Rattus norvegicus: one gene and its partners. The protein of the gene in region 1 interacts with the protein of each later gene in a biochemical or structural test. Links are inferred from orthologs where the notes say so. Each region holds a gene or a part of one and is shown in the gene's direction. Other genes may lie near its edges.

Region 1 (3,560 bases):
GGCTAGCCTTCAATTTAAACTCATGGTTGTCCAGGAGTGCTGGGATTACCGGTATGTGCCGTGCCCAGCTCTGCTTGGCTACTGCCTGACTTCAGGAGGGAGGCCTCTGTTTTCTCCCACTCATTCCTTCCTGGGTCCCAGCTCTCAGACTGGCTGTTCTCTGCTAAGCATGGGCTGCCATCCTCACCTTGCTTTTGTCCTTGCAGGTGTGAATGTGACGATGCCCTCGCAGCCTGGGGTGCCACCTCTCTCCTCCACCCAGCTGCAGATCGACCCCACCCTGCAGGAGTTCCAGCTGGTTGACCTGTCCCGCCGCTTCCTGGTCCATGACGCTTTCTGGGCCCTACCCAAGCAGTTTCTAGGCAACAAGGTAGGAGGGCGGGTCCTGCTCAGTCCTGCTCATCCTAAAGTAGCCCCCCCCCCCAACTCTCCTTCATCCTGAAGCTGCACTGAGCCCGCTGCTCTTCCAATCCTCTTTGGGTTCTTCCCTGAGTACCGTTCTGTGGGCTGGCTAGAGTGCCGCACACTGGCCTCCCTGGGTACAGCATTACATGTTTTCAGCCATGACATCTCCCCATGCCCCCTTCTCTATGAGCCTCCGGTGGGTGGGCAAGGTGAGGAACTAAAGAACAGGATGCAACTGCCTAAGGATGGCTGCCCTGCCCTGATCTGTCCTGTCCCGGCCAGGTGGACTCCTATGGTGGCTTCCTGCGCTACAAGGTGCGCTATGAGCTGGCACGAGGCATGCTGGAGCCGGTGCAGAAACCAGACGTGATCCTCGTGGGTGCCGGGTACCGCCTCCACTCTCGAGGCCACACACCTACCCATCCTGGAGCTTTGAACCAGCGCCAGGTCCAGCTCTCAGAGGTGGGTGGCACCTGAATCTTGGGGATGGGTGTAGGGGGAGGGGTTGCCCAGGGTGAGAATAATACGTTGCTTGCAGGCACTGATAGTCAGAACAACCTTGTCCTCTCCAGGAACACTGGGTACATGAGTCTGGCCGGCCTGTCCAACGGGCTGAGATGCTGCAGGCCCTGGCGAGCCTGGAGGCTGTCCTGCTGCAGACAGTATATAACACCAAGATGACCAGTGTGGGGCTGAGTGACATTGTCATGGACACCACCGTCACCTATACCACCATCCATGGCCGGGCTCACAGTGTGGAGGAGTGCAGGTGCCTACCCTCAGAGGGACTGTGAACCACGGGACTCTCTCTCGGGTAGAGGTGAATTAGCAGGGTCTGTGGTTCCTGCAGCCATTCTCTTGGTCCTATCCCCACAGATGTCCCATTGGCTATTCTGGATTGTCTTGCGAGAGCTGCGATGCCCACTTCACCCGCGTGCCTGGCGGGCCCTACCTGGGCACTTGCTCTGGCTGTAATTGTAATGGCCACGCCAGCTCCTGTGACCCTGTCTATGGCCACTGTCTGGTGAGTAGCACAAGATACCACTTGGACACTGGATGGGAGTGGGGCTGCATCCACGAACATTGCATCATTTCTAGAATGGCTTGGATGGCTACCATGACCTTTGGATGCATTAACAAGAGGTGGAAAGGAGGCTCGGAGGTTAAGAGCACTGACTATTCCTCTAAGGGATCTGGGTTCAATTCCCAAGCAACCCCATGGCAGTCTGCAACTGTCTATAATTCCAGTTCCAGGAGACCCGACCCCGTCACACAGACATCCATGCAGTCAGAACACCAATGTGCATAAATAAACCATTTGAAACAAAAGAAAAAAAATGGAGAGATACAGTGTCCAGATGGGAGATGAGGGTCTGTCTCCCTTAGTGAGGGCTAAGGGTAGCATGGTTTAGGCGTTACACCTTATCTCGTGGGAAGAGTGATGAGGGCTAGGATTGTGGAGCTGATCAAAGAGAGGCATGGTAGTGCCACTGTCTTCAGATCCCTAGGTAGCTATAAGGTAGACAGAATGGACTCTAGGATAGAACCGGTCCTGGGTGCAGCCTGGAAGAGGGTGTCAGGTTTGGATCCGTATCACAAGGTGCTTGGAGCCATCTGTGAGACTGGCCACCATGCTGGGCTACTACTGCCAAGGAAGCCACCTGGATACTCCTATTTGCAAAGCTGTGGAAACTTCTAGAGTCTGTCTGGCCCAGTTCTACTCAGCAGGCCCCGGTTCACTATCTACCCTCTCCTGTTCTAGAATTGCCAGCACAACACAGAAGGACCTCAGTGTGACAAGTGTAAGCCTGGCTTCTTTGGAGATGCCACCAAGGCCACAGCCACTGCCTGCCGGCCCTGCCCCTGTCCATACATCGACGCTTCCCAAAGGTCAGAGCCCTCTCAGGATATAGGCATGGGGCAAGTAGGGACATTCTCTGTTGGGGAAACTGGGTACCCACATGGATTCCAGTCCTAGCCTGCTCACTGAGTTGTCTGTGCTCTTTGATCTTTTGTGGGCCTCATTTTTCCTTTCTGTATAATGGACCCATGCCCACAGTAGCTATGAGGTCACAGTGGCCAGAGATAGCATCATTCCTTTCTGTGTGTCTTCCTGGGGCAAGCATGCCAAGCCCAGCCCTGAGTTCTACTCTTCTACCTTGACCACTTGATCCCCACAGGTTCTCAGACACTTGCTTCCTGGACACAGATGGCCAAGCCACTTGTGACGCTTGTGCCCCAGGCTACACAGGCCGCCGCTGTGAGAGGTAAAAGGGAGCTGACAGGAGTTAAGGGTAGGAGGAGACAGGATGCCCTGGCTGGGGTGTGACAATGTCGTCTCTCCCAGCTGTGCCCCTGGATATGAAGGCAACCCCATTCAACCAGGCGGGAAGTGCAGACCCTCCAGTGAGTATTATAACCATGTTCTTTTTTTTTTAATTATTTATTTATTTTATGTATATGAGTATAGTGTCGTGTCTTCAGACACACCAGAAGATGGCATCAGATCCCATTACAGATGGCTGTGAGCCATGCGGGTGCTGGGAATTAAACTCAGGACCTCTGACCGCTGAACCATCTCTCCAGCCCCCAGTGACCACGTTCTGATGTAGCCTGCTGGGCTGGGCTCCTCCCTGACTTCCCAGAATCCCTGGAGAGCCACCCATTCCCACTCAACCTGCCAATGCTTTCCTCTTGCCTCCAGACCAGGAACTCGTGCGCTGCGATGAGCGAGGGAGCCTGAGTGCCACAGGAGAAGCCTGCCGCTGTAAGGTATGTGTACTGCCTACTCCCTCCAAGACCTTGGGCCCAGCCTTACTGTGGTCAGGGCAGGGAAGAGATCCTAGCCTCTCAGATACCTTGGCGAGTGGGCACTGGCCTTGCCTGAGACCATAGGCCTGGCTATATCGTGAGGAAGTCCTGGCCATGGGCAGGAACACTGACTAAGGAGTCAGTCGCCCTGAGTTCAATTTCCCAGCATGCTTGCAGCAACTGCTGTATATGTTTTGGCCCTTACCTGCACCACTCTGTCAGGTCTCATGTTGACGTGTCTTCAATAGCAGGAGAATCAGATGTCAGTGGAGAAAACTGGGCAGGTTTTGCAGTCAGGTAGTCTCGATCTTATAGCTCAGGAGATAAGCATGCGGGGTGACCCT
Region 2 (4,137 bases), on another chromosome or scaffold:
TTTTGGGGGCTTTGGGATTTCTGCTCAACCCCTGATGTAGGCTTTGATGGCCTGTTGTTTAGTTTGCAGCTGAGGAAGTAAGTCAAAACTCAGAGGGAAGTGACTTGCCCAAGGACACACAACTACAGGGGACAGAAGCCTTTGCTACGAAGTAATGCTACAAACGACCATTTATAAACCCATCTCAAGAAGGTCGCCAGGGAGAGAACGCAGCCAAGTGTCAGGATAGAGGGGCTCTGCGTTGTGGTTTCAGAGAGGGGATATTTTAGCTGTATCTCAAAGCAAGGATGAGCCAGCCCTAAGCTCATGGGGGAGAGGTGTTTAGGTAGAGGTTAGCAGCACACACAAAGGCCCTGAAAGATGGGTTTGTGGAAAGGGCCCACGGAGGCAGGCTGTGTCAGACTTTTCCATTCATCCCTGGTCTCCATCCTGGTTCCTCTATGATTCCCTGGCTATTTCTGGTTTCAGCTATGTAACCCTGGGCAGATAGCCTCCCTTCTCTGTGCTTTTGTTTACTCTTGGCTGCCCCATACCTGTTCTCTGAGCCGCAGGGTCTTACTCTTGGGCCACAGCTGCTCCTAGGATGACGGGAAGTGGCTGTAGGGGCATCCATCTCTGGCAGGTATGGGAGGTAGTTTGTACTCTTGGATGTCAGACAGTGAGGCTCATTGTCAGCTTTCTACCATGCACAGGCCCTGGGCCTGCTGAGAGTAGACAGTGGTGACCAGACACTAGGATACCTGCCTCGTTTGGCAGGCAGGGAGCCAAGGGCCCAGTAATGATATGTTTCGAGTTTATATCTTACAGAGTTTTTCCTGCCTCTTGGGTACAGTGCTGTGAATGACAGGGTTCTCCACAGTTCCCTCCCCACAGAGGTCAAGGGTATTGGCTAAGCTACACCATGGTACAGGCAACAGAACTAAGCTGAAAAAAAAAAAAAAAGACAGGGTGATCTAGATTGCGGAGAACTGAGATGGAAGTGTGCCTATGCCTAGTTTCTGTATATCTGTCCCTGTGCAGCTTTGAGCCTGGGCACCTCTGGCCATCACAGGATACTGGGTCTAGGAGGAGAAGCTAAAAGGCGGCACATCTGAGTCTCAGTATAGCCAGAGCCTAGAGAGGGGGAGTGGAAAGGGGGCTCAGAGACCAGGACAGGAGAGCTCAGGCTCCAGGGCGGGTTGAGCCTTGGGTTGGGTGAAGTCTTAGCAATCCAAGGCCCCGCCCCAAGGCGGGACCCGTGGGGCGGGGTCTCAAGGCCTGGCTTGTCCCGCTCTTCTCCACCCGGCGCCGCGCGCCACCAGGGCTCTGGATTCACCGACGGCGGGTGCAAGGACAGACTGACCGCGGCGCAGCTCAACACAGAGCACGGAGTACAGAGTGAGTATGGAGCCTCTGGGTTTCCACGCCGCGCTCCCTCTAAGTCGGTCATTTTCTCTTGATCGCTGGCTACATCTCTCTGGCCTTCCATATCCCAGTCTTGTCCTTCAGGGTCTCCCAGGGTCACCCCCGCCCCCGCCCCTCAAGCAGGGAAGACTGGGCCTCTCAATCTGGCACCACCCCACCCGCAGTCGCAAACTGCCACACATGCACTCATGCTAGCAGAAGTTACTGCAAGCTCTGCAGAGGCACAGGCCACCCCAACTCCCAGTCCAGAATCTCTCATGCACGCTCACCTCTCCCATGTCCCTCCGCACGTGCGTGCTTTTACACATACTTGCCTGTATTAGGCATCCTTCAGGCATGCAAATGTGTCCGTGTTAAGCACGCGTGCGTTCAACATCCATAGAAAGTTTGGACCAACGCCGGCTGGTTCAACGCCTCGCTTATCTTCATCCACTATTTCACACGCATCTCCCACACAGGAGGCCTGTGTTGGACAATACCTGAAGACACAGAGGGCCCCACATTCAGGTGCACAGACAGTGTCACGGTCCCTAGCATCTGTGGTTCTCCTGCTGAGGAGTGGGTGCCTCAGCCTAGGGAGAAAAAAGTGGCTGCTGATGTTAGTCTTGGCTCACTCTCGCAGTGGCCTGGGGGGCCCAGGAGGGGCTCAGTCTTCAGGGGTGGGCTTGGCTCCTCACCACCTCTTGTTTCTCCCTTCCCTCACCCCAGCCTCCTAGGCAAGGGGCCATCCCTTCTTCCTCAGCTGTCCTGAGATCTTGCCCATCTGCTTTGCGGTGATGGGCACTTGGGCCAGTCAGACGTTGGTTTGAACCAGCAGGTGTTGCATGACAGGTCAGAAAGACAAAAAGGAATTTGTGCTGGAGGGGCTTGTTGCTCAGAGGGTGCTGAACCCAGACCTCCCCAGGGGAGGCCGGGTGAGCTTCCTGGGCTTGGCACTGAATGGAGCTGATGCATATTTGTGATGGAATGACTGGGGCTCTGCACCTCACCTTCTGGAGGTGCCAAGCATGTGTGTGTGTGTGTGTGTGTGTGTGTGTGTGTGTGTGTGTGTGTGTGTGTGTGCGTGCAGGGCCCCCACGAGGAAAGGCAGAATGAGAGATGTTGCCAAGGGTGGTACCCCCTTGTCTTCCCGCCCACCCCTCCATCTAGTATGTAGAAAGCATCTGACTGGAGGCACAGTCCCGCCAGCCCTGGCTGTGACTAGCTCTGCGTGTTTTGCTTGGCTCTCAGTATGCTATTATTGTTTTTAAAAATTTAATTAGCTGCCAGCATTTACTAACTGGCAGCTTTCACAGAAAAGTCCGGATTTCCGTCTTTTCTTGAAAAACTCAAGCTCCGGCAGCTCAGGATTCATATGCCTTTGTGGTGTGCTTCAACCAGCGCTGCTGGCCTGCCTCCCTTAGGGGTGGGCCAGGGGCACCTTTGGTTAAAGTCTCTACCAGGCCTTCCTTCTGGGCTCCTGTCTGGCCTTTGGAAATCTGTTCTGGTTGTGACCCTTTAAATCCATTGCTCTCTCAAGGGTGAGCCCAGGCTAACTTCTGCCATGCCTTAAGTAAGCCTCCTACCGTTGAGGACTTTGGTCACTACAAAGGTGGGAGTGTCGAAGACTCAGGCTTACCAGGGTCCTAGTGATAGGGCAGACATTTTGTGCTGGTCTGTGGGGGTGATAGCCTGGTGTCCCCGTAGGAGGAAGGTGAGAGCGCCTGCTGGACCTGAGACAGGCCTCACATGGCATTTTTCATCTTGTTATTCTGAGAGCCACTCTGTGAAGCTATATCCTGACTGACATGGAGAAGGGAGTCTCAGAAAGAATTCAGCAAGCAAAGGACCATGTTCACACCCCAGAACAATGCTCTCTGCCCTTCCAGCACTGAATCCTGAGAAATGGAGACCTGGATGTCAGTGACGTTTCCTGAGTCTTGTCCATAGCGGACACATAGTAGGTTCTCAATAAATGCTCCTACCATGACTAAGGCATGGAGATTGCTCCTTGAGATCATGACGGAGCAGAGCCCAGGGTTCAGGAATAAGATTACACATAGCTTGGTCCACATGGCCCTTTGATGTCTGATGAGAATGACAGCTCCCTTTCTATGACTCCTGTGGTCAAGTGGAGATCACAAAGTAAACCCATGGCACCACTCAGGTGTGACCTCTTGGACATCTGCTGGCCTTGTGCCTTACAAGCTAGGCTGTGAATGATTTTTTCTTATTTCCCTAGCTGGCTTTGGCAAACAGGACACCACACAGAGAGGAACTCAGGATACCACACGAGCTAAGCTCATGTTCCTGCAGGCAACTGCTAGATGGGTGGCTTAGGGCATGGTGGTCACTGTGTTATTCTAAGCTGAAATTTCTGTGGTCTCCCATGCTCATCTTCCGCATGTGGCTGATTGTAGGTATGCTAAGCACCCCTGTGACATGTGGCTGCCTGTCCATGGCTCAGGGGACAGGAGGAGAGGGCCAGCCATTCACTGGCTGCTCCTTGGATATTTCCTGGTAGGGAGGTAGTCTAGAGGCGGGGCCCTGCTCTGCCCCAACCCCATTCCTTGGACCTCAGTCTTTTCTTTTGTAGAGATTTCTAGCATTTACCAGTGCTCACGACCTTGCAGTGAGGAGGCAGAGATGGGGATGACTGTCTAGCATTTTGTCCTGGCCAGGTACAGATGCAGAACTCATGGGAGCTGGGGGTGGGTGAAGCAGATGCTGTCCATGTTGCTATGCAGCTGATTT
Region 3 (4,328 bases), on another chromosome or scaffold:
GTAAAGGGAAAGAAGACGCCAAACAACTTTTAAATGGAGTTTTCATTCCTGAGAAGAGGAGCCCAGTATACACACCGAAACGTGCATAGACTGTGCATGTCCCCACTAAAAGGAAAATGCCCACACAAAACATTCCCATATTTTTTCAAGCTTAATTTCACCTTATAGGTGTATATGTGTAAATGTGTTGAAACATTTTTATAGTGAACCTGGATTTTGAAAAGCCTCCTGGGCTCGACAGCTGCGTCTGGCACCACACTTCAGGCTCAGGCAGGTTCGTGATGAAGGAGAATCACTGTTTATCTCCCTTCTTTAAAAAAGAAAAGCATCGTGTTTCATTAATGGCGCACATCGGTGTAGTTTCGGTTGGATGTAAAGACAATAATCTTATCCCTTTGTCCGGCTGAAAGACTGTCCTTTAAACTATCATTATAAATGCCAGGAGTAAAAGTTGTTACAAGGTATTTATTGTCATTTCCTAGGCGTGGAAGGAATGGAAAGAAAGCCACACAGTTGAAAAAAACTGTTCACGCAGGGACCGCTTTCGCTTCTGCTCCCACAGTTGACACCCCTGAAAATGCTCCCTTCTCTCCCCCCAAGCCTATCTTGGCTGAAAGGTCAGCTTTGGAAAGGAACCTGGCCAAAGTTTCTGTAGGGAACCATGGCCATGGAGCTGGGTAGACGAAAGCACTCTAGCAGCCACTGGAGGAGGATAGGCGCTCTTCTCTGTGCAGCTGCCCTGGAGCCCTGATCACCCTCAGCAACCTGGATCTCCTGCTGCAGTTATCTGGACAAAGCCAGGCAGGAGTTCACAACCGAAATGTCTTCTAGGGCTAGGCAGGTAACTTCAAAAGATCTAAAGTTGCCAGATGGACGAGAAAACAGTAGGGGCATTGGCAACCTGGATAAGAGCCTATCTTTTAATTAAAGCGTTCAAAGGGGGCGGGGGGCAGGGGCGGGGGGCGGGGGAGTTAAAACTATGGCTGCACTGGCCAGAGCACCATTAAACAAAACTTCCAAGTACTGACCAACTCACTGAAAGTTGGTGCCCCAGATACATCTAGGTCCAGGGTTCCTATCTTCATGCTCCAACCTGCAAGCGGAGGTTTGGTCCCTTGGGGCTCTCAGCTGCAGCAGGGAAGAGAGTTCTGCACTTGGAGGCACCTAATGAGGGCGCAGCCGGTCTTGCGTTTCTGGTGATGCTTCCCGGGTTGCTGGGGGGCAGCAAGTGTCTCAGAGCCCCTTATTGGCTACATTTTACTTCCACCAGAATCCGAGCTGCGTCCAGATTTGCTCTCGGATGGGACTTGCAGCCCGGCACAGTTCCGGGGTAGTGGGGGAGTGGGCGTGGGAAACCGGGAAACCCAAACCTGGTATCCAGCGAGGGGCGTGGCCGGACGCAGGGAGTCCCCACCCCTCCCGGTAATGACCCCGCCCCCATTCTCTAGTGTTTAGCCAGCGCTGGCTCTCTGCACTGAGTCCTCAGGACCCCAAGAGAGTAGGCTGTGTCTCCTTAGATCGCCCGGAACGCTACTCCGCACGACTGAAAGCCCAGATTGTGTCCTGCAGCCGGGATAACCTGGCTGACCCGTGTCCGCCGACACTGCTGCAGCTGCGGCTGGAGCCAGGGCGCCGGTGCCCTGCGCTTTCCCAGGTTTTGCACTGCAGGAGCGCGTACCGCTTCTGTGACTTCTTTGCCGGCCAGGGACCGAGAAAGCATCTGTGCCCAGCGCGAGGTGCAGGATGGAGAGCAGGGCGCTGCTAGCTGTCGCTCTGTGGTTCTGCGTGGAGACCCGAGCCGCCTCTGTGGGTAAGGAGCCCACTCTTTAGAAGTAAGGTGGAGCAGGGTGCGGGCGGAGAGTGGGGATAACAGAGAAGAGGACCTAACTCGGAGAGCTCTAGAGACCCGTCCTTTGGTGTTCTTTCACTTACCAACCGGGAAACTGAGGTTCAAAGACTCTTCCGAAATGACTCAGCCAGGATTCTAATCTCCCCCGGGCTCTGGCTGGAGCGTGTCCTGCGGAGCCCACAACCCCTGGCGCTGGGTAGGCGGGAGTGGGAAGGCGCCCTGCGCCGGGGCAGGAGATGCTCCCACTGGCAGGAACAGGCAGTCAAATGCCGGGAAGCCAGTGCAAGCCGGGCGGCCTGACTGGCATCGAGCACGCAGGCTGTTGCTTGCTGCCCTGAGTGGAGCAGGGAACCAGCCTCCCGCTCCGCTCTGCTTTAGCTCCAGCGGGTAAGCTCACTATGTGCGCTCTTCACAGAGCAACACTTTCCTACCCAACTTTCTTTGGTGCAGAATGCCACTTTGCTGGCAGGAGGAAGCGGCTTCTTCTATGGTAGCTTTTCCAGGTATCTTAAAGTAACTCTCCACTTACTACTCCAAAGTGTTTGGTCCTGGGGTAAACTCTGAGTTTCTGAAAGTTTCAGAAACTCTTTAGTTTGGCACCTAGATATAGGCCATTTTTACTGTTTAAAGATGCCCTGTGTTTCAAGGTTAGGCTCTCACTCGCTCTTGGGCTTTTGTGCAACCCCTTCCCTTCTCTTCCCTCCTTTCCTTCCCCTCTTCTCCTCCTCATCCTCTTCCTCCTCTATTTCTCTCTCATTTTCTTTTTGTAGCCACAGTTTGCAGATTTCCCAGACTCCATCCATTGGAGAATGGAGAGTCAGAAAAAAAAAAAAGTCAATTCTGCAGAAACATTCCTTATATCCGAAGAAAATCGCATGCCTTAAAAGCACTGGCGCTGACGTACAGCGCCAGGATCATCTGTCTACAGTTATTGAATCTTCCTCATAATGACTTGGTTCACCAGGCTAACTCCATCATGGGTGCCCATTTGTTCCTGACAAGGCCTCACTCTCCCGCTTTCTGGGACGAGAAAGGCAGCCTAGAACACGTGCTTGCCCTGGGTCCCATAGCGAAGTGAGTTGCTGTGAAGCCTGGAGTGTTCCTAGTGTAGCAGTTTAACAGTAGCCCGTTGGTTGGTTCCCTGAATTAAACGGAGGTTGCCCTTTTGGAGTGTGTGACTTTCTTAATTGGATTGGACCATAATTGGTGCCATCGGAGTCTAGAGACAGAGCCGCTGTTGTTTTTCCTTCTGGTCTTTGAGTGGGAAGGATAACAGTGCACAAATTAATTAATGTTGGTTATCGGATTTGAACATAAAAGGGCTTTTATTGAGTAGCAGCATATGTACCTCTTACAGTAAGAAGGAGCTTTCTAAAGAACAGAACCCAAACTTGCCATTGAAAATGAATGAGGTTTAATAAGGGGGAGAGGGATCATTAGCCATTGATGTAAATCTCCAGTTATCGATAACCTCGTTGACTAGATTTGATTGCAGACACATCCCTTGGATACTATGGTGCTGTATTTGGTGTCTCGGGAATGGGGCATCTTTTACAGATGAGCAGAGCTAATGCGCCTGCCCTCTAAGAGCATCTATGGCTGTGTGTTATGACAGAGACAGTAGCGCGGCTCTGAGTGGCTGTAGCGTGTTGATCAGCGGTAGAGCGCTCAGGCTCTGCATTCGCTTCCCCACTGAAGAATAAAGGTCACTTACTGTGGTGGTAGAGTGGGCGCAGCTTACTACCACATTTTCCTCACCCATCTGCCTGAATAATGGGTTCACCCCATGAGTGTAGCCAGTGATTGTCTTCAGGTTAATGCTGCTCAGTCATGTTTAAAATCTACTTATCAAACAAATTGTTTTTATCTCCCACTTCTCAAACAAAGTAAGATTCCATCATTCAAAGGCTTGTCTATGAACATTTTAATTGCATGCCTATGTTAGGGACAGTAACTTCTTTGATATGGACAAATATTATGCCGGTTAATTGAATATAATTGCTCAGTTCTGTAGCCGTCTCGGGGTGGGGGGGACCAAGAGCACCTGTGATACAGTCACTTTCGATGCCATTTAAAAACCCCTATTTGTTGGTCTAGGAATAAACACACCATGAGGTTCAGACTCACAGTCCACACACGAGTTATTAACAATGCCAACTAACTTCTGAGATTCATTAAATGCCATTTAATTTCCAGCGTTTGAAAAATGTTAATTAATGAATAAATCCACGGTTATATCAGCAGCATATGTACATCCGGTTAGGTTGGGTGTATTCAGGGTGGAATTGCTGTAGACCGTTATGCACATCTGTGCAGGTGTGCGAGAACCGCTACAGTCAGTGAACGGCCTGCTCTGCTTGTTCTCAGAGGGCCACAGTGTCACGGCACCGGGTGTTTGCCTTGGCTGTTTGCTCATACTGCATTAGTGGCCTCATATTTGTTCCCGCTCACTCATTTGCCCAACACTGTCAATGCCAGC

What was found.
Region 2: the proteins of Hspg2 (region 1) and Fbln2 form a complex in vitro, tested with the Homo sapiens proteins (2 studies listed by BioGRID). The link is inferred for Rattus norvegicus from reciprocal best matches to the Homo sapiens genes HSPG2 and FBLN2.
Region 3: the proteins of Hspg2 (region 1) and Kdr form a complex in vitro, tested with the Homo sapiens proteins (2 studies listed by IntAct). The link is inferred for Rattus norvegicus from reciprocal best matches to the Homo sapiens genes HSPG2 and KDR.

Annotation. Positions count from the first base shown.
Region 1 is NC_086023.1:155,005,823-155,009,382, forward strand, and holds part of Hspg2 (basement membrane-specific heparan sulfate proteoglycan core protein precursor), read left to right. Parts: intron 1-206; coding exon 207-370; intron 371-687; coding exon 688-867; intron 868-977; coding exon 978-1,174; intron 1,175-1,281; coding exon 1,282-1,429; intron 1,430-2,167; coding exon 2,168-2,295; intron 2,296-2,585; coding exon 2,586-2,672; intron 2,673-2,752; coding exon 2,753-2,811; intron 2,812-3,109; coding exon 3,110-3,177; intron 3,178-3,560. UniProt on the Homo sapiens protein: Integral component of basement membranes. Component of the glomerular basement membrane (GBM), responsible for the fixed negative electrostatic membrane charge, and which provides a barrier which is both size- and charge-selective.
Region 2 is NC_086022.1:125,260,360-125,264,496, forward strand, and holds the start of Fbln2 (fibulin-2 precursor), read left to right. Parts: upstream 1-1,299; 5' UTR 1,300-1,377; intron 1,378-4,137. UniProt on the Homo sapiens protein: Its binding to fibronectin and some other ligands is calcium dependent. May act as an adapter that mediates the interaction between FBN1 and ELN.
Region 3 is NC_086032.1:32,570,573-32,574,900, forward strand, and holds the start of Kdr (vascular endothelial growth factor receptor 2 precursor), read left to right. Parts: upstream 1-1,490; 5' UTR 1,491-1,743; coding exon 1,744-1,810; intron 1,811-4,328. UniProt on the Homo sapiens protein: Tyrosine-protein kinase that acts as a cell-surface receptor for VEGFA, VEGFC and VEGFD. Plays an essential role in the regulation of angiogenesis, vascular development, vascular permeability, and embryonic hematopoiesis.